Rattus norvegicus: one gene and its partners. The protein of the gene in region 1 interacts with the protein of each later gene in a pairwise test. Links are inferred from orthologs where the notes say so. Each region holds a gene or a part of one and is shown in the gene's direction. Other genes may lie near its edges.

Region 1 (3,500 bases):
CAGGGGCTGCATTAGAAGGGACTTAAGCACAGAGACAGACTTACTGAAGCAAAAGCAAGGGAAGGGAGTGGGCAGTTAAGCTTGGTGGGTGAATACTCCATCTGTTATTTGTTGGAGTGTTTTATGAACTGAAGGGAATTCTTGGTGTTAATGCTATATGAGTAATTGTCTAGGAATTTCAAAGGCATATCTAGGAACTAGGATTAGTTTCTACCAAAAAAAAAAAAAAAAAAAAAAAAAAAAAAAAAAAAAAAAAAAAGGTTGTGTAGAACCAAGATGGGAATTCGATGGGACGTAAATGTGTAAACCACAGAGGAAGAGTCCTTCCTTTTAACTTTTTTAACTTTCATGTCTCAGAATCTCCTCTATAGGACATAAATGCTTCCCAGCTAGCTTCTTGCTGAGGACAGGTCACTGCAAGGCTAGGATGTCCCACAGTCTGACCTAAAGCCATAAGTACCTACTTAATGTAAATCTCATTGCTCCATACAGCCCACATATCGGATGCCACAGTTGCTCCATTATTCACATATAGGGAATAACCCTGTCAAGGACCATAATTTCTCCCATACTAGTCACGTGTCTTACGTATCTATGATCTGTAACTTAACAGTTCAAAGATAATATATTTTTGACACTTTTTAATTTTTTTTTTGTTCATTTTTGTTTTTTAACTATGTAACCCAGGTTGCCTTATACTTTCTGTGTAACTAAAGCTGGCCTCAGCCCTCCTTCCACAGTCTTCTCTGTGTGGGATTGCAGCACCACCATACTAGTCTCTCCCAAATTTACAAGAAACAACTAAACAAAGCATGCTGCATTACTTTGACTATTGGCTGTTAATCAGAACTAAGTATTAATAGAATGACAATGTGCCTCACACTTTCCTACACACTGTATTGTTTTGTCTACTCCTTTTCCTTTCTTAGAATTCATCATGCCAAAGGAAGAAGAGCATTTCTGAGAAGCCAGAACCTTGTTCAAGTCGTGAGAAGTGCCCTGCAGAGGCGGTTGGCATTGACGTCACGGGCAGGTTTATGACATCAGGAAAGGTGAGGAAAGAAAAGGAACAGAGGCATCTGCAGACAGACAGTAAAGATACATTTCTCCCCTGCAGCAGGCAGCGCAGGATACATGATGTTTTTAGTAGTGCATACTAGTGTTCTCAAAGGCCTTTATTTCATTTATTTATGTGTTTTGATCATATCCACTCCCTGTGGCTCTCTCTTATCCCACTTCCCCTTCCTCCCTGCAGTCTCAGCAGGTGACTTCTTAGCGCACATGTTTGGGGACCATTCCTAAACTTGTGAGAAGTGTAAAGAGGAAAAATTGAATATGTTTTATATTTCTAATGTTGAATCCTTTTTTTTCATTTCTCAGATAAAATGTAGTAAGGTTATATTATAGAGGCATTGGCATGCTTTAAGTAATATATCCTTTTTATCTTATGTGGTTGTATATCAGAAGGAAGCAAAAGAGTGAGTCATATCCCTTGGAACTAGAGTCATGCATGGTTGTGAGTTTCCATGTGAGTGCTGGTGCTGGGAACCAAACCTGTGCCTTTTGCAAGAGTTTGTGTTTTTAACCTGAGATATCTTTCCAAGCCCTCGGTGTATACTCATAATTACATATCCGATCACCCTAAAAGGGGTGTGTATGTATTAAGTAACCCGTTAGTAACAACAGTGATTATGAAGATTCATTTAGCTGCAATGAAAACCAAGAGTATAGATTCCCTTGTAATCTGGTTTTGAGTATTCCTTATTTTAGATATACATTGTCTCTGTCTTTGTCTGGTTTGAGCTCCTGTGGCTAAACGAATCTAATACATTTAGAGATAGCAGTTTTTCATATCCAAGGGGAACTCTAAGCTAATATTCCATTTTAATTATAAATGTACTTCCAGATATTTTCCTTTCTGGGTAAAAGGACAGAATAGAGACTAATAATCAATGTATAATTAGATAAAAGATATAAAATGTTTCTTTTTTTTTAAAGTACAATATTTTTAATCTTACAATAAATGAGGATAATACCACAAAAGAAGAGTTAAACATTTATGAAAATATAAATATTTGACTATTCTGATCATATTGGATTCATGGATACTGTTTGTTTATTCATTAACAGAATCTCACTATATAGCCCAGGTTGGCCTGGCCTTTCTAACCCTTCTGTCTGGGCCTAGTGAATGCTGGGATTATGGCTGTGTGCTACCACACCTAATAGTTATTTTTATTTTGTTCTTTTTCTTTTGGTTTTTGTTTTAACTTTCCATCATGTAATATTTTAAACATTTACAAAAGCACAGATGAACCTGTTTTAGCAATCACATCTTTGCTAAACGTGTTTCATCTTTACTGTAAGGACTTTCTCCATCATCTTGAAATAAAACTAAACATCTTTAAAATATATTTCAGTATTTAACCTAAGACATTAGAAAGCTTCTAAAAAGCTAGACTTTGTCTCCCAAGCACTTATAAAATATGTTAATATTAGCATGTTAAACTATGATACATTATTATGGTAATTCAAATGTCTTTAAATCTTTATATAGTTTGTCTAGAGAATAATTCCTGTGAATATACTTAAAGGAATTGTGACAGTAAAACCATGGAGGTAAATGTTGGTGTTTGTCTCTGCAGAAGAAGGCTGTGGTGATCCGTCACCTGTATACTGAAGAGAACGTTGGTGTTCCTGAAGGGACAGTAACCTCAACAGAAGTGAGTGAAGGCTGCGATGAGTTGGAAGAGCAGAGTTCTGACATACGCATTCCTGAGGCGCAGGCCCCTGAGGTCAAGGCTGAGCTGCAAGTGAGGACTGAGGGGCTCCTTAACATACTGCTTTCTGTCTGTGCTTATTTCAGTCTTTGAAAACTGGACTGCTACTCAACTCTTAAATTATGATATCTATGTTATTATTTAAGAATACATCAATCTTACTGAGTGGGAGTTAGTGGATTCCAGTTGTCAGATCTGTTTGCAGTTTTCTTCCTGAGTTAGAAGTAAAGTAAAGAGAAATGAAAAAAAAAGGTACCTGTACCTGGGAAATTACAATCCAGCAGAAGAGATGTGCCGCTTCGCACGGAATTCTCTACCACTTGTAAGCTTGGCATTTTATTCCCATTTTCCCTTTGCTAAGTGTTTGCTATATTGTCTCCATGGGGCGTAATCTCACTATGTAACCTTGGCTGACTTTCTGTAGCTCAAGGTAGTTTCTAATTGCAAAACCCCTCTGCCTGGCGATTTGTGTGGTAGAGTTACAGATGTGTGCTGTCCCACCCAACTCCTTGCTAATTTCTGTTACTCCTTCTTGACACAAGTACCATTATGTATATGATCTCTACTGTTTCTGATACAGTACTCATGTCTTGTGATCTTTATATGGTTTGAGTTACAGTTGGATTTATGAAAGTTTATTTTATTTATAGGACTGCTTTGTACTATGTGACACTCTAGGTACTAGTCATTGCTAGTACCTAGAAATAAATAAGTAATGAC
Region 2 (3,500 bases), on another chromosome or scaffold:
AGTCTGTGTCACACTGAATGTAGCTTGAGTGTAAGAGAGCTCAAAGCCTGCCTCCTCAGTGACACTTCCCCCAACAAGGCTACACCTCCTAATAGTGTCACTCTCTATAGCCAAGCATTCAAACACATGATGAGTCTATGGGGGCCTTTCCTATTCAAACCACTGTACCAACCCAGAAAACAAGCAGGAAGTCTACCGGGTGTCATCGGCTCTCAGATGATAGACACATTGGAAATGCAGGCAGTCTAATGCAAGACTCCAGTGTTGGGGTTTGAGCCAGGTCTTAGTGTGCTTTTACCCCAGAGCTCAACCCCTCCTGATCCATGCTCCTAACAATGTAATTTCACTAAAACAAGAAGTTCGGGGGCAAAGATTTATGGTTTTGGAGTGCTGTGCTAAGCATTGCAGTGTGGGGTAGATACCAGACTTCCTCATTTTATAGACAAAGTACACAGAGAAGAGACATTGCTAACGTATGCGGCGAACACCCCCAAGTGTTGGCCTGAGAGCTCCAGTAGGAGCTCTGGCTCTGCTCGCCCACTATGCCTCATGTACACAGCCGCTGGTGTTCCTGAGTCCGTCCCCACCCCCCACCCCACCCCAGGACAGAGCATTGGCATTGTCCCCATAGCCTTTGTACCCTGAGAGGGAGGTGCAGAGCCTGGGTGACTCCTGCCCAAGCCTGGCTAGGGCTCGCTGTGGTAATGCTTCCCTCCTAGGAGCGCTTTCTCCAGCTTGACTCATTGCCCAGAGTTTAGGTCAATGGGAGTGATTGGGTCTGAGCGTCGTTCAGTGCGCTGCCGTGCTTTAGGAGGGAGGTTTTTGCCTGTTAGACGGGCGGTTCTCTGTGGAGTTATGAATGTGACATATAGGTAGAAAGCCAGAGCACTGTGCGTACAATGCTCTTTCCAAAGATGGTGCTTTATGAACCTTTCATCTCTGTCTGTCCTCAAGGGCTTTCCTTCTGAAAAGGCAGAAGGTTTTGTAGCAGCAAGAGAGAAATTCCGTTAAGAGGGGGAAAATCATGAGCTTATTTTGTTTTTCCGTCTTTCTCCCCAGAGTCTGAATGGTGTTTGGCTGAACAGAGAGCGTCTGGCGCCGTTACAGGGTTACTGCATCCGTAAGGGAGACCACATCCAGCTCGGAGTGCCTCTGGAAAGCAAGGAGCATGCGGAGTACGAATACGAAGTTATCGAAGAAGACCGGGAGAGTCTGGCTCCCTGCCTTGCCCCCAAGAATGACCACACAACGGAAAAACATAAAGGCTTGAGAACTAAGAGGAAGTTCAGTTCGGATGGGGTAGAGAGTCTTCCAGCCGAGGGCCCCTCAGATCTCAGGTGCCCACTGGCTAAAGGCTCCAGTAAACCCGCTGAGCCAGAGAAGTTACACGGCAAAGGTGAAGCGGCAAGTCAGCCCTTGGGATGTTTGTGCCCTACCTTGGCGTCTCTTGAGGCGAGTGAGAGGACCGCGGGGCCTCATGCTTGCTCTACTCTTCCTAAGGTCCTCGAACTCTATCCTAAGAAGCAGAAGGCCTGCAGCCCATCAGCATCTCAGAGCAGCTTAGAACTGTTTAAGATGACCATGTCCAGGATGCTCAAGCTGAAAACCCAGATGCAAGAAAAGCAGATTGCTGTCCTGAACGTCAAGAGGCAGGCCCGGAAGGGGAGCTCAAAGAAAGTCGTGAGGATGGAGAAGGAGCTGCGAGACCTACAGTCCCAGCTGTACGCAGAGCAGGCTCAGCAGCAGGCAAGAGTGGAGCAGCTGGAGAAGACGTTCCAGGAGGAGGAGCAGCACCTCCAGGTACCACAGAGGCGGGGGCGGGGCCTCAGGTGGGCGGGGCCTCAGGTGGGCAGGCGCTTAGTGGGCTCCTGCCTAGAGTTGTCTCTGGAGCAGGGACTCAGTGCTAATAACTAAGCACAGTACACAGAATGGGAAACTGAAATGGAGGAGGTGGGAAGGGTTGGGGTTTCAGCATACTGGTGAGGTCAGAAGCCAGGCAGGGTACCCAGTTGAGCAAGGTGACGGCAGCAGCCAGCCTGGAGACAACTGGTCTCTGCTTGGAAACGGGCTTCAGATCCGAGGTCAAGTCAGGGAGAGGTTGGGTAAAGGTTAGGATGCAGCAAACCATGTCCTCAAGGCTTCTCTGCTCTTTGCTTTCCGAGCAGGTGCAGGTCAGCTAGGTGCCCTGCCTTTGTGTACACAACAGTGGGTTGTCTGTGTGATTAGCTCATTTCGGGGGTGGGGGCTGGCAGCACAGAGTGGTTTTGTTCCTGTCTTGATCAACCAGAATGCCATGGGGAGGCACACAACTGGCGGAATGATAAGCCACTATCCTCCACCAGAAGTTAAAAGAAGTATCTGAGAGGTACAGATGTTGGAGCAAATGTGTTCTCAACTCCAGACCATTCGCTTAGGTGACAAGCTCTTGCATAAAGCTTCAGGCAGGGGCTGATCTGTTCCTGCTTAAAATGTCAGTTCCCCAGGGCAGGAACCATGCCATTCCCACCCCAGCTGTTCAGGTAATGGCGAATGTCAAGAATTCCCTATTGTTGACTTAAAACCAAAAAGGGCCAGTCACAGCTGAAGTGCAGAGGTGGTTTTTTATCTTGCTTGAGTCTCTCTGGGCAAGGAACAGCCTGTAGTGGTGTTGGCTTGTTTCTGAAGAGTTTATCCTTTTCTTTCTCACCTCTGCTATCTCCTTGAGCTCGTAGGGCTAGCAAAAGCCATGGATTACAGCAGTGCCTCAGGAGGGCGCGCATGGTGGGTGTACATAGCTTCTGCTCCCCTTGTCAAGCCCAGACCGCTGTAAGTTAGCAGAGGGTGGTATCTGCTGTTTGGGGTATCACACCTTCACTGAGCAGAATTCTCTTTAAAGGACAGTGTGTTCAGAGATGAGGGTATTCCTGTGATTAGTATCTGTGGCGATTCTGTGCTGAAGAGACAGCTGCAAAGTCTTTTCTGGGGCAGAAGGTTAAAGGCCGAAGTGCCTTGTTGAGCAGCGTGCCGAAAGCTGTGTGTTAGCTGCATTGGCCCTCACGATAGCCTGGCCTGACATCGTGTTTGGAATTCTGCTTGGTATTGAAATGCCCAATTTTTAAAAATCATTAAGTAATTTATCTTGTAGAAACAAGATATGCCCCTATCAACACATTGGAAGAATGGTTGGCACATTAATTACAAGTGAGTGGAAATCCCCCACCCTGTAGGTAATCCCTAAGGCAGCAAGAGCACAAACTGCAGGGAAGAAGCTGGCCATAGTTGAGCGCTGGTCTGCTGGCTGCGGGCAGAAAGGGCAGAGAGTGCCTTGGAGAGGGAGGTCCATGCAGAGGGACAAGACGGAAGCATTGTGGGGCCGGCCTTGGGGATGTATTTGAGCGTAGATGTTTGTGCCTCAGTTCTCAGACTCCATCCATTTGAGTATGTGGCAATAAAAGAAATTCTGACTACTGCTCTGTGGTGTTTCAGAGCCGCTCCGCGTGCGGCCTGAAGCCCTGTCCTGA
Region 3 (4,149 bases), on another chromosome or scaffold:
GCTTGATCTATATAGCGAGTTCCAAGTCAGGCAGCACTAGAAAGCAAGACCTTATCAAACATAGCAAACTCCAAACAAGTAAATAATTGAAATCACAATTGTGTTTGTTTTTGAATGATCTAAGCATCGAAAATCCTAATGAACAAAGACAAAATCTAACTTTCTAAAGCATTAGCCCATGTAGGAGCACGTGGTACTTTGCAGAAAGTGGGGCAGGGCTGAGTGGGAGTTTACCAATCCGCCTAAAGCCAAACCTCCTTGCTACAATCCCCTCCTGAGGATCCAAGCTGGTGATGTCAGAAGGCGGGGCATACTTGGTCTCAAAGCCTGTGATGGCGGAGAATGGTTAAGATGGGTTTTAGTTGGATCTGAGGTAGAAGCCAGCATAGTCAAAGACTAACAGCCAGGGCTACACGGAGAAACCCTGACTGGGCTGGGTGGAATGGAATGGGGCACTGGGGAGAAGATTAAGAAAAGGATGGGTGGTGTCAGGCTTCCAGGTTTGAATCCGCAATAAGCACACAGTATTGATGGATGGAGCCATAGATTATTTACCCTTTACCTGGGCATGGTGGCCCGTGCCATTAGTCCCAGTCTTGGAGAGACAAAGACAGGCAGAACTCTTGAATTCAAGGCCAATTTGATACACCTAGAGAATTCGGGGCCTGCCAAAGCCACACATGAGACATTGTCTCTAACAAACAATAGTACATACTTTTTTCTTTTAATTAGCCTTTTCCGTACTGCCCTATATTTCCCAGATCTCTGAGTATAATGTTCTTTCTCTGAGTAATTATGAGGACCAAGCTATTACATACGAGGGAAGAACACATTGTTTGGATTATTATAAACCTTCTACTGGAATGGAGAGGGGAGGGATACTAGGCACATAACAAATTAGTGGTTTGGGCGTGAGATAAATATCTCCTAATTCACAGTTTACCCTTCTTTCTCTCTTCCACTCGCAAGTCCTCAGAGATCCTAAAATAGTCATACATGTTCATAAGGGAGTGTATGAAAAAAAATCCAGACTGCCAAAGTTTAAGGGCCAATCATAGTTTCTGTACTAGGAAGGAGGCTGACACGAATCTCTAGACCGAATGACATAATTTCGGACCCTCAGGGTATTTGGCTCCTAAGCTTTTCGGTTGCATCTCGGGAGTTGTGACCTGCCGCAAGGCATGAAGGGACTCGTAGTTTTTCCCACTCCCGCCTCCAAAGCCGCCTTGGCCTCTTTTCCCAGCAAGCTCCGCGCCAGCGTTTGCTGTTGATTGGCTGCCGCAGGAGAGGGTGGTCCAGCTGGCAGCAGTTACCCAGGTTTCCGGTGCTCGGCCAGAGTCGGGGACGCGGTCGGACGTCCGCGGTGAAGTATGTCTTTGGGCTGTACACGGGACGAGCTCTTCAGAGGGTCCATGACCCAGGACGCGTTAGCCGCGGAGGAACAACTAATTCTGTGGACGGGGTGGGGAGAGTTGTGTGCTGCCGTGCTGCGCATGCGTACTTCGGGTCTAGAGGGCGCGTGGGGTGTGGGTGTCTTCTGTGTACGCGCGCGCGCGCGCGGGAATCCCACGTGGGACCTGGTGGGGCGGGGGGCCGGTCGGGACTGGAGCATCCCGCCACGTCAGTCTGCGGCTCTGAGCCAATCCCGCGCTCCCGCTGCCGAGAGGGAGCCGTGTGGTGCTGAGAAGTGGCATTCAGGAGAAGGGAGGCCTCTTCCTTCCTTCACTCTGTGCTGGTGCAGCTTCTCGGAAACCTTGCCCGGGACCGTGAAGTCTCAGGCGAAGGCCGACCAGTTTGTTTGAAGCTTAGAGCTTCAGATTTGGAGATTTCTCATCTAGGTTGTGAAGAATTTTGAAGTCTAGAAAATAGCAGCGGTGTCCGTAAAGGATCTACCCCTTTTCTGGCCTTGCAGATCACAATGAAGAACCAAGACAAAAAGAATGGGCCTGCCAAACACTCCAACCCGAAGAACAGCCCTGGGCAACGGGAAGCAGGACCGGAGGGAGCTCATGGACGGCCCAGACAGACAGCTCCTGGTGCGGAAGCTGAAGGTTCCACAAGCCAGGCTCCTGGGAAGACCGAGGGTGTGTGCCAGCTCTGCTTTTCCAGTGGGCAGAGGGAGGAGTTTCTGGTACTTGCATCTATCTGAGGCCAGTATTTACCCAGGAAGGAGGAACTATAGAATGAAACAATGCCCATTCTGTGATCCTCATGTTTCCTAGGGAGGTGATGAAGCTTTCCACTCTTAGCCCTGGAACGGAACCTTGGGGGCATGCTCTGACTGGTTTAAACCAAATGACAATCAAATGAGGCGCCCCATAAGCAAAGTCATATTCCCACTTGCCAGTGCCCGGTGATTAATTGTCCTTCATAAGACAGAGCGTCTGCTACACGTCAGTCGTCCCTCTTGTAGGGGTGCTTTACACAGTTGTCTTTGATGGTCATAACAAGTATGTTTGGGTGTTAGAAATAATTGTTTCGTCTTATAAAAACGTTTTATACGACTTAGGGTTTAAAAAAATTAAATTGAGGCCAGGCATAGTGGCCCTCACCTTTGTTCTCAGAACCCAGAAGTCAGAGGCAGGTAGATCTGAGTTTGAGGTCATCCTCATCCTCATAGTGAGTTCCCAGACAGCCAAGGCCCTGTAGAGAGAGCCTGTCTCAACTGAATAAATAAATGGAACGTTTAACCCACACAAGTGGTGTTTGTCTGGGCTTAAAGAAGAAGAAAACCCAAGGGAGCGGTGTAACCACCTAACGTTCACTGTCTTCATCTTGTAGGCGCTCGAGCTAAAGCATCTCAGTCTGGGGCCCTCTGTGATGTCTCTGAGGAGCTGAGCCGACAGTTGGAAGACATTCTGAGTACATACTGTGTGGACAACAATCAGGGAGGCCCAGGTGAGGAGGGAGCTCAGGGGGAGCCCACTGAGCCTGAAGACACAGAGAAGTCCCGAACCTATGCAGCCAGGAATGGGGAGCCTGAACCGGGCATTCCAGTCGTCAATGGCGAGAAAGAGACCTCTAAGGGGGAGCCTGGCACAGAAGAGATCCGAGCAAGTGACGAGGTTGGAGACCGAGACCTTCGAAGGCCACAGGAAAAGAAGAAAGCCAAGGGTCTAGGTGAGGGGGAGCTCCTGCTGACGGGAGGGAGTGAACACTTGCCATCTCATGGGCTAGCCTGCTCTGTCTGGACACAAGAGAATCTGCTTTTCAAGACAGTACATCCCCCCAGTTTAGTCAAAGATGGGGTCATCCCATTGAGCTGTTCAGATCACTCACTTGTGCAAGGCCTCCTGGCCTTGGGAGCCAAGTGGAGGCAGGAATCCAACTAGCTTTCTCACTGGGAATATGGAAAACCGGAGGGAGGCCTAAGTGCTCGACAACACCACTTTCAACCTGCTGTTTGACTTTGGGCATGTTTATTCTCCACTCCTAGAGAGGGTCTTAGTTTCCCTGTTTGTACAGCAATAGAATTGGGCTACACCAAGGTTGAAATATCAACATGGACCAGGTAAGCCACAGACCTCTTCAGAATCAAGAAAGGGCCTTCTTGATCTGAAAACCTGACTCCTACCTGGTTAGTCCCCCAGTCGCATCTGACCAGCTGAATAATTGGTAACCAAAATAATAGAAAGTAAGCAGAGGCCTCCATTGGTTGGATTTGCCATCTCCGTGTTACCTTTTGGGCCTCCCAGGGCTGACAGCTCAGAACCTGGTCTGTGCTGAGTACAGTGGAACCCAAGGGAGACAGCTGTAAGGCTTCCCGGCTGAGGTAAAGCAAGGCAGTGGCAACCTGGCACCATGGCGTACACCTTTAACCTCAGTACCTGAGAAGCAGGAGCAAGTGCATCTCCTGAGTACCAGACCAGCCAGCTGCATAATGAAACCTTATCACAAACAAAGGACAGGAGTGATGGGACAATGTGAAAATACGAACTTAGAACCTAATGCAAACCAAATATGGTAGTGTATGCCTCTAATGGGGAACTAGGAGGAACAGAAGCAGGAAGATGCTGAGTTCAAAGCCAGCTTGGGCTACATAGCAATACCCTCTCTTTGTGTGTGTGTGTGTGTGTGTGTGTGTGTGCGCGTGTGTGCGCGTGCGCGTGTGTGCGTGTGTGCGCGTGTGTGCGCGTGCGTGCGCGTGCG
Region 4 (4,218 bases), on another chromosome or scaffold:
ACGTTCAGGAAGGAAATGTGCTCTAGCCTTCTCCATACAGTGGCTCTCCAGGCCCCTGGCCAAGCAAATAGAAACTTCGACTTTACTTAAATTGTCTCCATTCCCAAACGGGGCTGGAGAGATGGCTCAGCGGTTAAGAGCATTGGCTGCTCTTCCAGAGGACCCGAATTAAATCCCAGCATTCACATGGCGGCTCCCAACTGTCTGGAATTTCAGCTCTAGAGATTCTCACACTCACTCACCTGGAGAAGGAACGCCGACGCAAATAAACATTTTTTAAATTAAAAAACAAAAAACCAAGAAAAAAACTAGTTAATAGTCTTAAGGATACAGTTAGAGGCACAGAGCAGTGGTTGCTGGGAAAACTACCAAGCAGGTTCAAGCGTCCTGGGCCAGAATCCCGCGTGGCTGCAGCATCTAGACTCTAAAAGAGACTCCCCGGATGCCAACGTGCCTGGGAAAACATCAGGGCTGGGGGTGTCCCTTGGCAGCAGAGCACTTGCCCAAGCACCCACAACACATCCCCCAGCACCTCAAAATAAAAGCACCCGAAAGCCGGGCCTAGTAGCTTAGTACTTCATGCCTCTCATTCCGGCCCTCGGGAGGCAGAGAGGGGAGGACCTCTGTGAGTTTCAGGATAACAGGATCTACACAGTGCTGCTCAGGCCAGCCAGGGAGACCCTATCTCAAAGAAGACAAGGGTGAGCCAAGGCTCAGGGAAGGTGCACACACCTTTGTCGCTGCCCCTGGCCCCTCCATGTCATTATGTTTCTGTAGGAGGAGGCACGTGTCCACAGGTGGAGGTTAGAGGACAACTTTCTAGGACATCCACTATGCCAGTCTCTGAGATCCAACGCAGATCTTCAGGCTTGCCGGCAAGCCTCCTTCCCCACCATCTCACCTGAGCCCTAATTGACCATTTTAGCAACTACCCCAAGCTTTCCTAAGGCGTTATCCAAACTTCTAGTCTGATGGCAGTTGAGTGAATAGTTTTTTTTTTTTTTTTTTTTCTATTTTTCGGAGCTGGGGACCGAACCCAGGGCCTTGCGCTTGCTAGGCAAGCGCTCTACCACTGAGCTAAATCCCCAACCCCGTGAATAGGTTTTTTTTAGAAGGCTTTGCCGGAGCTAACCTTTTGGTTCTGTGTTTGACCCAAGGGCCAGCTTTTGAGTGGAGAATGGCAAACCCGAAGAGGAGGGAACCCAAGCTCCACTCACCCTGACCCACGCACATCTGACCATCTGACCTGGTTTTTCCAGACCCACGGTAATAATAGTTAGTAAGCGACACCACCCCAGGATGCGGGCGGTGGGTGAAGAATGGGCTCGGCCGCGGCGAACGGGTTTGGGCTCAGCGGGGATTAGGCTCCATCCCCGTGTGAGTCATGCCTGCCTGCCTGCCTGCGTGCGTGCGTCCGCCTCTCTAAGCCTCAGCCCCTTCCTCCGCCTGACGCCGGCCCACGGCTCCCGCCCCCGCGCGGCGGGGACCCGGGTGATTGCAAACAGCCGCCGGCCTCATTAGGAGACCTGTAATTAGAGGCTGGCGGAGCCGAGGGCGGGGGCTAATTACCACCGGGAGAGGCTGAGCCGCCGCCGGCCCACTGGGAGGCGTCTGGCCCGCACCGACCGGCTGCCCCGGATCCGGGTGCTTCCTCTGGGTGGCGGCCACTCGCCGCCGTTTGTTTACTAGGCCCTCACCTCGCCCGCCCGTGCCAATGCAATTCCACCTACACCACCATCCTAATAATTCCTAATAATCGGAACTAAAAGGGAAAGCTGAGCTCTAGAGACGCGGTGTCGTCCCTGACAGCACCGGACCAGAGTACAGGACAGGAGATCTGAACCCACGGCTGTGGCTACGTTACTCCAAGGTAGGCAAGTGAGCACTGGAGTGGACCGGAGCTGGGACTTTGGAGGCAAATGCTTGCAGGGTTAAATTCTGAACCTGTACCGTATCTATAAAATGGGCGCAGGATTAGGATCCAGAGACTGATACTATTTTTAGGGAAGCGGGAGCGTGGCGAGCTCCGGCACACCGTGGGCCTCTGGCACCCCCTACCGGTCTAGGAGGACTCTGGTGGTGGGCAATGGAGATCTGTGGTCCCCGAAAGCTGTTTTGGGCCAGGAGAAGACTGAGATCTCGGATCTTGCAGATAGTCAGCTATGAAATAAGTCTTGGGGCTGAAGATATGGCTCAGCGGTTAAGAGCACTGGCTGCTCTTCCAGAGGTCCTGAGTTCAATTCCCAGCACCCACATGGTGGCTCACAACCATCTGTAATGGAATCCTATGTCCTTTTCTGGTGTGTCTGAAGGCAGCGACAGTGCACTCACATACATAAAATAAATAAAATTAAGAGGTGAGAGCACTGGCAGCCAAGTTTGACCACCGGAGTTTGATCTCCACCTTCCAGCGGTGGCGAATACACACATCTACATTTCTACAGCAGATAAAATAAGTCCAATTCTTAAAAACTACCCTGCTACAACAAAGCCTGGCCCCAAGAAACCCAGGATAACAAGAAAATCTGTAGACAATCTATATGAGGTCTATCGATCCTGACCGCCTTAGTGGCGCATTTAAACATGGCAATACTGTGTGCACGAGGAATGTCTGTAGCAGCACCGGCGACAGGAAAAGAGAGTGAAGCAGCAGACTTACAGGCATGTTGCATGGTGCAGGTATGCTGCAAAATATATATGTCCAGGCCTCGACCTTGCAAAACCTATCTCTACAGAAATGGGAATGATGGCTCCTTCTCACTAAAGGCTTTGCCAAGGGCCTGGGAATTCAGGGAGCCCTGAAGCTTATCTACATCTTTTTTTTTTCTTTTTTTCGGAGCTGGGGATCGAACCCAGGGCCTTGCGCTTGCTAGGCAAGCACTCTACCGCTGAGCTAAATCCCCAACCCCTTATCTACATCTTAATAGGGCGCTGGTCGCACAAATCCACATTATTCAGTCGCATCATTAAGAATATGCGCTTAAGGGGCTGGGGATTTAGCTCAGTGGTAGAGTGCTTACCTAGGAAGCGCAAGGCCCTGGGTTCGGTCCCCAGCTCCGAAAAAAAGAACCAAAAAAAAAAAAAAAAGAATATGCGCTTAATGTAGAGATCAGTGAAGTGTACCGCGTACGGTGGTACACGTCTGTGGTACACGCCTGTAGTCCCAGCCCTTGGGAGGCTGAGGCAGGCAGATCTCCCGGCCAGCCTAGTCTACCGAGCTGGTTCCAGGACACCCAGGGCTACAGAAAGAAACCCTGTAACAAAGCCCCAACAACAACAACAACAACAATTACACAAAGATATTGAAATTAATGGGTTAAAAAAACGCATTAAAAAACCTAATTCTCTATTCTCAACAAAGAGGGCTGGGTGTAGTGGAGTGCATTGGTAATTCTAGCGCTTGGTAGGAAAAGGCAGGGCTACAGAAGTTCCGGGTCGTTCTTGGTTACACAGTCTGGGGTTAGCTTGTGGAAAAGAAGACAAAGAAGAGAGGAAGGGTACTATATTGTTTTTGCAAACCACTTGACAAAACTCACCTCCACAAAACTGTCAAAATCCTCTCAAAGAATTAGCGTATTTGGGTGTATGGTAAAACTTCTGTCCTGGTTTTTTTCAGGTCCCAATTCCCGTGACACTCTCGGGCTTTAAGTGCAAGGATGTCCGCAAACGTTCACTGGACGACCCAAAGTACACACAGAACTTGAGCGCAAAATCCCCAGCGCCTGCCTGAGGCGGGCGCATGCGCTCTTACGCTCGCCGCGAGAGGCGGAGCGTGGAGATTGACAGGGCTCTCGGCCTGTTGGAGCCTAGTCCCGCCCTCCTCCCGCATCCGGCGCGGACGCCATGGTGCGGTTCAAGCACAGGTAAGCAGCGCCCTCCGTGTGCGTTCCCCGCGCCTTCCCCGCGTGCCGCGCTCACCCCGCCGTCCCCCGCAGGTACCTTCTGTGCGAGCTGGTGTCCGAGGACCCGCGCTGCCGCCTGAGCCTGGACGACCGCGTGCTGGGCGGGCTCGTCCGGGACACGATCGCCCGGGTGCACGGGGCCTTCGGCGCCGCCGCCTGCTCCGTGGGCTTTGCAGGTGCGAGGGCGCCGCAGGTGGGGTGCGGGGCGCGCTTTGCGGGGGAAGGCCCGGGCCATGTGCCGCGTTTTGTACGAGAGCGGAGGGTTCTAGAAAAGCAAGAGTGCGGCGAGTCCAGAACAGAGCAGAAAATGCCGGTT
Region 5 (3,500 bases), on another chromosome or scaffold:
TGTCTGGTCCCCTTGTAGCCAGCATATCTTCCTATGAGCCCAAAGTGACATCAACCCTAAGGTCCAGGCCTCGCTGCCTTCTCCTGCTCTGTCCTCTCACATGTGAGCCTCAAAGGCCACTGGCTGGCTTATCGTCTCCCAGCTTACCTGGGAAAGCATAGGCCCTTTGCTCTATCGGCCTTCATTAGAATCCACTATTACAAAGAGGCTGGGAATTGTGGAAACTGCACACCCAATGAGCCTTCCCTCAAAGGTTTGCAGAACCCTGGTAAGGCTCCCAGACCAGGAGGGACAAAAACACCCAGCTAGGTGGCAGGTGGACTCCTCTTCTCAGTGATACCCAACTGCTCAGATGAAGGTGTGGCAGAGGGAGGCAGAAAGAAACCTCATCCCACAGAAAGCTCAGTAGAGCTGGTGAGTCTGGACGCTGCTGTAAGTCGTGAACCCATCTGGGTCTAGTGATTAGTAGCTTTGAACGCTTCACAAGAGCTGTGTGGCCTGTTCAATCGCTCACACCTGCATTCTCAAAACCAAGAGCTGCTCCTTCAACTCTAGTTGGTGAAAATCCAGGCAAAACTCTGCCCACGTGTGCAAACATGGATCTTCTCCCATGATAAATGACAATGACTGGGCTTGGGCCCTGTTTAAACAGTTGTTTGAAATGTAGTGGGCTATACGCACTCACTATGGCTTGACTTTTCAAACCTGCTCTTTCCTGGACAGAGAGTTTCCACCGACTGTCTCTAACCCTCTCACTGTTTTCCCAGATATAAGTAGCTCAAGTCCATTGGGCGGAGAGCAGGCATCATCAGCTGCCAAGGCAAGCGAGGTGGCTGCTGCTGGGATGGTAGTGAACACTGGCATCAGGAGGGTACGACTGCCAGCTTTGGCTGTCAGGAGTTGGGTCCCTTCCAGAGTTCCCAGGCCAGATGACTGTCTCCTGCTTCCTGAGGACTCAGACCCCCGGGCCTGGAACTAGGGCCTGCTCTGCTCTGTGTTGATAGAAAGTGGTACCTTCTTTGTATAGGGTCTGGGACTCAACCCTAGTTTAGAGCAGGGGAAGAGATAGATAAACTGGCTCTGGCTACATCTATGAGAAGGGCAGGGTGGGGATTGGATCTGAGCAGGAAGCTTGGGGACAGTTCCATTATTTGGTGAGGCAGTGTTCCTCACAGTACTTCTGCCAGCCAGCAATTAGGCCAGCCTAAGAGAGGAGGGGGTGTGGAAGGAGAAAAGCCGTGAATGTCAATGAGGGCCACGGGCTTTCCAGGCAGACGTAGAGATAGCCGTCATGGACTTCTAGTCATTCCTCCATCAAGCCATCCCAGCTCGAGGCAGCCTCTGCCAGCAGACACAGCTATCCTTCACTTCCATCTCTACCACCTGCTATTTCTCGCTTTTGCTGCCTTCTCCAAATGCCCTGTGAATCTTCTGGAGGCTCTAGAGTCTAGATGGAGCTGAGACCTTAAACCCATTTTGCAGATGGAGAAACTTGAGGCCCAGAGACAGGCATGTTCATGGTGCCGACTAGAAAAGTGAGAACCCGAACACTGGGATTCTGCCTCTATTATAGTCAGGTGATAGTTGGGCATTGCTCCCAGAAGGCTCACTAGGCAGAGGGGGCACAGCTTTGGCATTGGCCAGGAAAGGCCCAAAGCTGGGGCCTCAAGGCAGTGGAAGGGATGTGAGTCACTCCCTGAGAGCCAGCACTGCAGACAAAGGCGGGAAGAGTATTGTTCTTGTGAGATGGCCTAAGGGCTGAACTGGGAAGACCCCCCCCCCAAGAATGCCAGGTGGCTTTGGGGATATTACCACTCTGTGGGGAAATTGGAAGTGAGCCTTCAGTGTCAGCTGTTGGGGTGAGGCTCAGCTGTCCCTTCAGGGAGGGAGACCACTGGAAGCATCCTGCATCCTCACTAAGACTCCTCAGCTGCTCTGTGGGGTGCACCTGGCCTCAGCACTCTCCCCCCCTCCCCTGACCAACCCCCTCCCTGACCCGGAGCAGAGGTCTGGATCCCCTGCGAGGGATCTTCTCAGGGCAGCTACAGGTACCATAGGGCTCCAGAGACTTGGTGGCAGTTCTCATTCCCTTCTTTTTCCATGAGTCATCTTTCCTAAAGTAGCTTAGGAGCGGGGACAGCCAGACTACCATGGTTGGTGCCATGCAGCCAAAGAGAGGGAACGCAAGGCCAGGAGAGAGAAGAGGGGAGAGAAGAGATGCAGAAGGGAAAGATTTGGACTTGGAAGGGTGAGGCAGTATCTCTACTCCATTCTTCCTACCCACACTTCTCTTCTCCCACAGACATCCCTGACCACCTCCCGTGTCTGACTCTCACCTCTCCCCTGTAACACTGGGCCTGTCATGTAGCCAACAAAGAGGCCCCAAGTCACCCTGGGGCCTTGTCGTTACTTGCTATGTGTTTGTCCGGCCCCCTCTGAGGCCACACAGTGAGTAGCTCTCTAATACGCTAGGATGTGGTTGACGACTGTCTCGTGGTACCTGGGCCTGGTGCTCTGGGAATCTCGTTATGATTGCCACCGGAAGTCACTGGGCCTTCTGGCTTCTCTCCTCCGCAGCTGGCTCGAGGTGTGAACTCCGGCCAGGGCCTGGGCATTGAGATCATTGGCACCCTGCAGCTGGTGCTGTGCGTTCTGGCTACCACTGACCGGAGGCGCCGAGACTTAGGTGGCTCAGCCCCACTTGCCATTGGCTTGTCTGTGGCTCTTGGACACCTGCTGGCCGTAAGTAAGGGGCTTCCCAGGTGGGGAGGTCTGGGCCAAGGTAAGAGGTGGTGGGTGGGGCTAGTGTGGGCGTCTGTGTATTTCAGATGGAATTCCACTGGGTGGGATGGCAGACCCCCTCTGGTGACAGGGAAAGGACTCAGGGACCTCTCTGATCATCCACTGGGATTGATTTTCCCCTGGCCTGCTCTTTCTCATTCTCCATCCTCTCTGTCATTTCCCTTACATTCTTGCTCCTTACACACTCTCCTTCCAGATTGACTACACTGGCTGTGGGATCAACCCTGCCCGGTCATTTGGCTCTGCTGTGCTCACCCGCAACTTCTCAAACCACTGGGTAAGTCACCATGGGCAGCCAGGTGCGAGGCATTGTTTTCCTCTCAGGGATTCTGGGAGACAGGCAGGACAGAGGAAATCAAGAACAAACCCTGAGACAAAGGGAGGGGGTTCAGATCATTAAAGATTTGTGTCATCTCTACTCTGGCAGCTCCAACCTACTAACAGTGTGGTGACAGATCTTGGCCCTGCCACCTTTGGATTTAGCAACCTCAGGAAGGTTTTGTGCCTTGGTTTCCCAGACTTTGAATGAAGTAGACTTAGAATCGTTACCTCTCCCATCAGGAGAGGGAGGACCCATGACTGCAAGCAGAGATATGAGAGAGGACACATCTTTGTAGGCTTTAGCTTTAATTACTGTTGGTCTGAGTGTTCCTGGCCACCCTTCTATTAGGCTAGCCCATCTCTGGGACCCTTCCAAG
Region 6 (4,231 bases), on another chromosome or scaffold:
ACATATCACACACATAAACATGCCCGCACGCATACACACACACACACACACACTCCCACCACACACACATGCATGCATACACACACACACACACACAGAGGTGCATGTATACATACACATATCACACACATACACATGCATGCACACATCACACACACACACACACACTCCCACCACACACACTTGCATGCATACATACATAATCTCACACACACACACACACACACACACACACACACACACACACACACACAGAGTTAAGAAAAAGTCCTGAAGTTCCTTTGTAGAGACGAAGTCTTTGGCAATGGACGCACTTATGCTTTGTATATTCACATTGTCTTACACCGAGATTTGTTTGTAATTTGGGTATTTGGGACTCAAGTAGCCAATTTCAGAATCTCTGGATCTTCTGATCTTGGTTCACCACTCTCTCCATACTCCAAGGGACAAAATCACACAGAACTAAGTTACACACGGGAGCTCTGGAGGTAATGGGTCTGACAGAACTAAAGACGGAGGAACTGGATATTGTGGCCTTGAAGCAACTTCTACCTGTACTATAATTGTATACTTGTACTTTTCTATCTGAACAGCCTTAAATGTCCTGACAGGATCTCCCTTGGAGCACGTATCAGCTTATGCTACCTAGTGGAATGATGACTCTTGGAGGGTGGGGGATAGTTGCTAGAGGGGACAATCACGGGGTTAGAAAGTTGGAATTTTCAGCACACTTCTACCTCAGGGGAAGGAAGGAGTTGGCATTTAAATGATCAAAGACCAATGATTTCATTAAATTTGCCTACATAATGATATTCAACAGGATATACAACAGAATTCAGACACTGGTGCTGAAAATGCTGGGGGGCAGGTGGGTCCAGAGAAGGCCTGAAGCTACCCCGCCAATCTCTCATCCTGTTACTTCCGCAGGCCCCTACTGATCTGCTTCCTTCCCAGTAAAGCTGAGATCCTAAGTAAAAGCATTTTCCTCAGTTCTGAGAGCCAACTACTGAATGTGAGGAACAGGTCAGCGGAGCCCCTGATTTGTGGCTGATCACAGCTTGATCTGAGATTGGTCCCTCAGGTGAGGGTCATCTTGCAGGGCTGAGCCCCTAACTTCTGGGGCCTGCACAGTAACTCGATGTAGCTAGTATCAGAGTGGAGCTGAGCTGGAGTCCCTCAGTAGTGCCAGCCCTCCCCAGGTCCGAACAGCTCCTGTTTCTCCCTTCCCAAGTAATGCAGCTGGAGGAGCTGACACCTCTGAGGGGAAGTGAGCAGGAGGTTTCAAACCAGCCTGGCAATGAGCCTGAGCTGCAGCCTGCGGTGACCAAACAAGAGTGAATGTTGGGGCCATTGTGCGTCACACTGACCCTGGCTAGCCCTGTGGGCACAGCCAGCAACAACCCTTCCTGCTGACAGAAGCCTGCTTGCCACCCAAGCTGCTTAGAGAAAAACCATGAGCTCTGAAAACCACCATATTGTTCTGTGATGTCACCTCTGGAATGTTCTGAGTGTTTTGGTGACCAGCTTATGCACAGGACCTATACCTGGCACCTCACGTTGGTATGGCTACTTTCTTGATACGGAAATAATAGTTTAAGGCCGGGAAGAACTGCTTCAGGAACTTTCAACAGGGTTTTTATGTTTGCTAATTCCTGCATTGACTTCTGTCCGGTGATCAGTAAGGTTTCTTACTGGCCAGGTACCATCTACACAAATCTTTACACTGAGATTATTATTATTATTATTATAAGGTATATAATTAATTTGTAAGAAGTGTGTAAGCAGTTGTTTATTTCAGGTGAGCCACGGAGGCCCTGAAGGTGGGTTGAGGAGAAATCTAATTTTTTTTTTCTTTTTCGCAGCACTCGAGGCCAAATTTTACGAGAAAGAGAGAGATCAGATCTGAGAGCCTAGAAATTCCAATCAATGTGATTCTACCTCAGGTAGGGACAGTCACGGAAGGATGTAACTTACCAATTCTCGCTACAATAACCCTGTTTACAAACCTTATAGAATGAACAAGGAAGTCAGCTGTTTCAATTCTTGTCATGTTGGGTTTTCCCTGGTTGTGTGTCTGCGGGGAGGACACATGGTCTCTCTGGACCTTGGGATCCTCTGGCTTTAAATGAGGGGGCTGCGTTGACTATTCAAGTACCCCCTCTCCCCCCCACCCCCCCAACCTTTCAAGGTTTGGTGATACTGTAAGAAAAATCTAACTTGACCAAAGGAGACCCTTCATTATGTTTAACTACTCTGGAAATCTGTGGAGAACTCTAGCTTGAACTAGAATTGACATCTTATGCACGAGAATGAACCCAGGAGCTGACACAGAATGAACCCAGGAGCTGACACCCCAGCATGTGGCCCATTTGCAGCTGCCAAAAGAATTAATCCCTGTTGTGGGCCAAAGATGGGTACTAAGGAATGGATGTTCAGTTGCTCCTTTTGAGGCCAGTGAATGGTTAAACCCCTCGCAGATTGTGGTTCTTAGGTCTCCAGGCATGCAATAGCTTCCTTGGTGGGATGCCTTTGATTTGACTGTTTCTTCTGCTGCTATGTCACAAAGGGGTGGGCTTGCTTTCTCCAGAGTTACCTAAGAGCTCATTGGAAGACCAGGACCATGCAACCAGAGGGGGTGAAATGTAGGATGGAGGGACCCAAGACACAGGTAATTTGTCTAAAATTTGGTCCAGGGAGGTGTGTACAAAAGAGGATGGTTCTCTAATTGGTGTTCTGTATGAGTGTAACTGTAACCGGGTCAGCAAATATAGTCAGGCAAGGAAGCAGCCTGGAGACTTGTTTTCCTTACAACATTGGAGTGAGCAGCCACTTTTATATCTTGTTCAGCTCATGAAAGCTGAGCTAGAATATTAGGGAACTATGTTCTGATTGTCCTCTAGAACCTTGCAAGGTCTGATTCTTAATACGTACAACATGCATCTGCTACTGTGTGTGAGGATGGGCATGGTTCCTTTGGTTCCTTATATTAGGGGCACAGCTTTCTATCCCCAGTTCCCAGAATCAGCTTAACAGCCAAGGAGAAATGTGATTTGAGAAGTCTTGGGTTAATTCTGGTCCCCTGGACCTCCAGCCCCACTTCCTGTGCCGTAGGACTTGTGTAGCTATTTGGATTTTGGAGGGCAAAGGGATATGGAATGAAGGGGTCACTGCTGACTGGAGATTTGTTTCTCATGGCCAGATGTGGCCTTGAGTATGCCAGACAGGCTTAGTCACCAGTCTTCAATAGGTCAACTAAGCAATTGACTGATGTTGAAAAGCAGGAAGAGGAGATTTATTCAATGCTGCAATACTTGAAGGAGGAACAAAGAGGTCTAATGATTTCCCAGGTTCATCTTGGACATGAAGTTTGGGTTTCTTTAGTGGGCCAGAGATACCCATCCAAGGTGTGGTCCAAGCCCAGCATCAGTGTCTGAGCCTCAGGCTCTCCTGCAGGGTAGTCTGACAATAAGGGCTGTGTGAAATCCCTTTCTGAGAGACAATTTCTCTCTCTCTCTCTCTCTCTCTCTCTCTCTCTCTCTCTGTCTGTCTGGATGGCATGGGCCTTGAGCCTTTACCTTCTCCAAAAGGAAGGCTACTGGAGAAATTTCTTGGGGTCCATTGTTTCAATAATCTGATAGGTAGAAGGAAGGACATAAGTATCTTTTTCTGGAATATATTCATCACTACCTGGATGGTTACTGTCCCACCTACCATGGGGTCACAAGCCAGGCAACCTGTCAGGATACTTTGGACTGGTCCTCTTGGATTGGCAAGTAGTCATAGATAACTAGATGATGTAAACGTGCCTACCTCCCAGGCCTGTGAGGAAGTCCTCTCTGCCCACTGTACCTCCCCAGACAAGATAGTCAGGAGGACCCCTATATGCAACAAAGTGAGGAAGGATATTGATGGAGTGCTGCTGTCGTCATGTGTTGGCCACAGGGCTACACAAGTGTAAGGCAGAGATTTCACAGCTGTGGGAATTGGGAGGTTTAGTAGCAAGGACAGAACTTCCATTTAACCCAGGTCAGTGCTCAGCCTGTCACCCTGTTTACTGGGACCAGGTGATGTTATAGCTCTAGTTGTTCTCTTGCTTCTAGAAGATAGTGCCTCCCCTCCCCTCACCTGGATTGCTAAGCCCCAAGCTTCCTGTGTCTTTGTGCCCATGTGGTTTCATTCTGAGTTGAGCTCATTCTGTTTGGAAGGGAATTATAACTGTACCTCTGGCTCT
Region 7 (2,336 bases), on another chromosome or scaffold:
CTTGTACTCTCTCCATCCATTGCTTCCTCCCCAACCTGATTTCTCCTGTTCACTCACTACCAACCTCCAGTCTACCCACATAATCTATTCTATATCCCCTTCCCAGGGAAATCCAGTCATTACCCCTAGAGCCCTCCTTGTTACTTAGCCTCTCTGTGTGTGTGGGCTGAAGCATGACTACCTTTTACTTTGATTAAGGACCTGTGAAAGAATCTAATGTCTGATGAAATGAGTCATTTAGATCTGTAAGCTTTGGAAAATGATATATCAGCAGAATTAATGTCAGATTAGATTGAAGGTGACAGAAGATGAAATGACAGAAATCTGTGGGGTTTTTAAGCTTTGTGAAGAACAATAGTGGCTAAGATTACTCACTTGTAACCTTGTGCCAAGGACATATGATTAAAAGAAATTATCAGAGAGTTCGGAGGGAAGAAATCTGGCTATAGATAAAGTTATGAAATCAATAGAGCCAGGATCAGTGGTCTCACATCTCATGAGCTTATTGTTCTGCCCTGATATCCAATAAAGTTTTACATATTTGGGTTTTGATATTGACTTGATTGAAGATTCCTTTCACTATAGATCTTTTGGAGTAGGAGTTACTGGTTATAAGTGAACCAAAACACAACAAAAATACAGAAACAAGATAGTAATAGAAAGGAAAATTGAAATAAAATATGTATACTGGAGCTTGGCTTTAACCCAACAGAAAGAACAACAAGAAAGCAATATCCAGACTTAAATAGAACACAAAGTATAGCTACCAACATCTATGTACCAGAAACACACCAAGCATTTCCTCTCCAAAAAGAGATGTTTTGGAAATTGGATAAAACTCATGTGGATATTGAATATCTATGATACTGAATAAACATATGAATGAATATATTCAAATGTGTACAGGATTGTTAACCAAGCCTATTTAAATAAGTAAATTGAATCAAAAAGGGTCTCAACACTGCTTGAAGAGGACAGTCAAGCCTCTACCTGGAAATGTATTTGACATGCTTATCACTGCCTTGTAATTGATGAAAGGTTGTAAAGACAGACAGCTTCAAGTAAAACACATTATTTCTACAATGTTAATTCAAGTGTAATTGAGAAGAGTTAGAGTCCCCTCAAAATCAGGGTAAGGTGGTCACATTGCTGTGATAGATATTTCTAGGCTCAAAACCTAGTCAAAGCTCATAACCCACCAGGCACCAATGACATCTCAAAGCCTAAGATGTCATAAAGGTAGCTCCTGACCAATGAGGTGCAGAAGTTGAGGGTGCAATGGGCCTGACTGAACATTGTCTTCAGAGAACCAGTCCTGCTGGTGAACCAGGCAGAGCTTACCGGAGCCCAAACCATCAAACCATCATGTCGGGGAAGAAGAGCCAAGAGAAGGCTTGCAGCGACAACAAGCAGACGGAAGATCCTTCTTCTAGGCCTGAGGTACAGGTGCCTGTGAACTATGTGTACCGCCTACTGCAGGAGGAGCAATACACCCCCTGCCTAGGTTCCACAACTTCTGACTTCCTCCTTGCCATGCTTGATTACCTTACCGACTACATCCTGGAGGTGGTGGGCTCCGAAGCCAACATCAACAGCCAGCAAAATATTTCACAAGATAGAGAGAGACAGAGAGAGAATGACCGTGAACCCCCTCAAGCCTTCAAGAATGCGCCTTTCTCTCTGTTTGATGAGATGCCTGGACCCAGAAGGAATGGCTAAAGAATGGGGTTCACAACCCAAGAGTGGGAAGCCTCACAAACTCAGCTAGAACCATGAAGGCTAATAGCAGAGGAGGCTGCCCCCTGTGTCCATGAATACTAATAAAATGTTTAAATGAAAGTTACTTGTTCTGACTTATTTCAGTTTGTCTCGTTGAGTTGGAGGTATCCACAAGATATCAAAGAAAGAATAAAAGATTGAAGTTATGCTTAGGAGTGGGGGTTTGAATCGAGGGAGTACTTCTCAGTGGGGGTGGGCTGGGTAATGACCCCAGTGGGGGGAATTGGGCAGAGAGGAGGGTGGAGAAGGCTCCCTTGTTGGCTCTGAGTACAAAAGAAGCCTCAGAGAAGACCAGAAGTAGTCTGTAGCCTCACTGGAGAGTTATATTTTCAGTATGGTAACTTGGAAGATGCTGCTGATGAACAGAAGCCACCTTTCATGGGAGCAAAGGTCTCAGAGCAGAAGGAAATGGGTGTCAGCGAAGGGGTAAAGACAGTTTGCATGAGTCACATGAGTAGGCATAAGGGACAGAGTATTCACTTGATGATGGTGTAATGGCAAAGCCAGAAGGAAATATCCATTTTAGAAGAGGTAAAATGGTTAAACATCTAGTCTTG

What was found.
Region 2: the proteins of Cep44 (region 1) and Rnf8 interact in binary tests that used the Homo sapiens proteins (3 or more experiments, as listed by UniProt). The two-hybrid records come from large-scale screens. The link is inferred for Rattus norvegicus from reciprocal best matches to the Homo sapiens genes CEP44 and RNF8.
Region 3: the proteins of Cep44 (region 1) and Txlna interact in binary tests that used the Homo sapiens proteins (3 or more experiments, as listed by UniProt). The two-hybrid records come from large-scale screens. The link is inferred for Rattus norvegicus from reciprocal best matches to the Homo sapiens genes CEP44 and TXLNA.
Region 4: the proteins of Cep44 (region 1) and Pop5 interact in binary tests that used the Homo sapiens proteins (3 or more experiments, as listed by UniProt). The two-hybrid records come from large-scale screens. The link is inferred for Rattus norvegicus from reciprocal best matches to the Homo sapiens genes CEP44 and POP5.
Region 5: the proteins of Cep44 (region 1) and Aqp1 interact in binary tests that used the Homo sapiens proteins (3 or more experiments, as listed by UniProt). The link is inferred for Rattus norvegicus from reciprocal best matches to the Homo sapiens genes CEP44 and AQP1.
Region 6: the proteins of Cep44 (region 1) and Cby2 interact in binary tests that used the Homo sapiens proteins (3 or more experiments, as listed by UniProt). The two-hybrid records come from large-scale screens. The link is inferred for Rattus norvegicus from reciprocal best matches to the Homo sapiens genes CEP44 and CBY2.
Region 7: the proteins of Cep44 (region 1) and H2ap interact in binary tests that used the Homo sapiens proteins (3 or more experiments, as listed by UniProt). The two-hybrid records come from large-scale screens. The link is inferred for Rattus norvegicus from reciprocal best matches to the Homo sapiens genes CEP44 and H2AP.

What each region holds. Positions count from the first base shown.
Region 1 is NC_086034.1:38,728,759-38,732,258, forward strand, and holds part of Cep44 (centrosomal protein of 44 kDa), read left to right. Parts: intron 1-929; coding exon 930-1,052; intron 1,053-2,645; coding exon 2,646-2,813; intron 2,814-3,500. UniProt on the Homo sapiens protein: Centriole-enriched microtubule-binding protein involved in centriole biogenesis. In collaboration with CEP295 and POC1B, is required for the centriole-to-centrosome conversion by ensuring the formation of bona fide centriole wall.
Region 2 is NC_086038.1:7,693,965-7,697,464, forward strand, and holds part of Rnf8 (E3 ubiquitin-protein ligase RNF8), read left to right. Parts: intron 1-1,059; coding exon 1,060-1,800; intron 1,801-3,500. UniProt on the Homo sapiens protein: E3 ubiquitin-protein ligase that plays a key role in DNA damage signaling via 2 distinct roles: by mediating the 'Lys-63'-linked ubiquitination of histones H2A and H2AX and promoting the recruitment of DNA repair proteins at double-strand breaks (DSBs) sites, and by catalyzing 'Lys-48'-linked ubiquitination to remove target proteins from DNA damage sites.
Region 3 is NC_086023.1:147,266,474-147,270,622, reverse strand, and holds the start of Txlna (alpha-taxilin), read left to right. Parts: upstream 1-1,349; 5' UTR 1,350-1,462; intron 1,463-1,912; 5' UTR 1,913-1,918; coding exon 1,919-2,084; intron 2,085-2,781; coding exon 2,782-3,120; intron 3,121-4,149. UniProt on the Homo sapiens protein: May be involved in intracellular vesicle traffic and potentially in calcium-dependent exocytosis in neuroendocrine cells.
Region 4 is NC_086030.1:47,039,233-47,043,450, reverse strand, and holds the start of Pop5 (ribonuclease P/MRP protein subunit POP5), read left to right. Parts: upstream 1-1,418; 5' UTR 1,419-1,870; intron 1,871-3,616; 5' UTR 3,617-3,843; coding exon 3,844-3,863; intron 3,864-3,935; coding exon 3,936-4,078; intron 4,079-4,218. UniProt on the Homo sapiens protein: Component of ribonuclease P, a protein complex that generates mature tRNA molecules by cleaving their 5'-ends. Also a component of the MRP ribonuclease complex, which cleaves pre-rRNA sequences.
Region 5 is NC_086022.1:85,819,284-85,822,783, forward strand, and holds part of Aqp1 (aquaporin-1), read left to right. Parts: intron 1-2,577; coding exon 2,578-2,742; intron 2,743-2,998; coding exon 2,999-3,079; intron 3,080-3,500. UniProt on the Homo sapiens protein: Forms a water channel that facilitates the transport of water across cell membranes, playing a crucial role in water homeostasis in various tissues.
Region 6 is NC_086033.1:57,324,486-57,328,716, reverse strand, and holds the start of Cby2 (protein chibby homolog 2), read left to right. Parts: upstream 1-1,431; 5' UTR 1,432-1,485; coding exon 1,486-1,560; exon of another isoform or gene 1,561-1,699; intron 1,700-1,862; coding exon 1,863-1,943; intron 1,944-2,420; exon of another isoform or gene 2,421-2,620; coding exon of another isoform or gene 2,621-2,668; intron 2,669-4,231.
Region 7 is NC_086039.1:15,579,976-15,582,311, reverse strand, and holds H2ap (huntingtin-interacting protein M), read left to right. Parts: upstream 1-1,281; 5' UTR 1,282-1,365; coding exon 1,366-1,719; 3' UTR 1,720-1,836; downstream 1,837-2,336.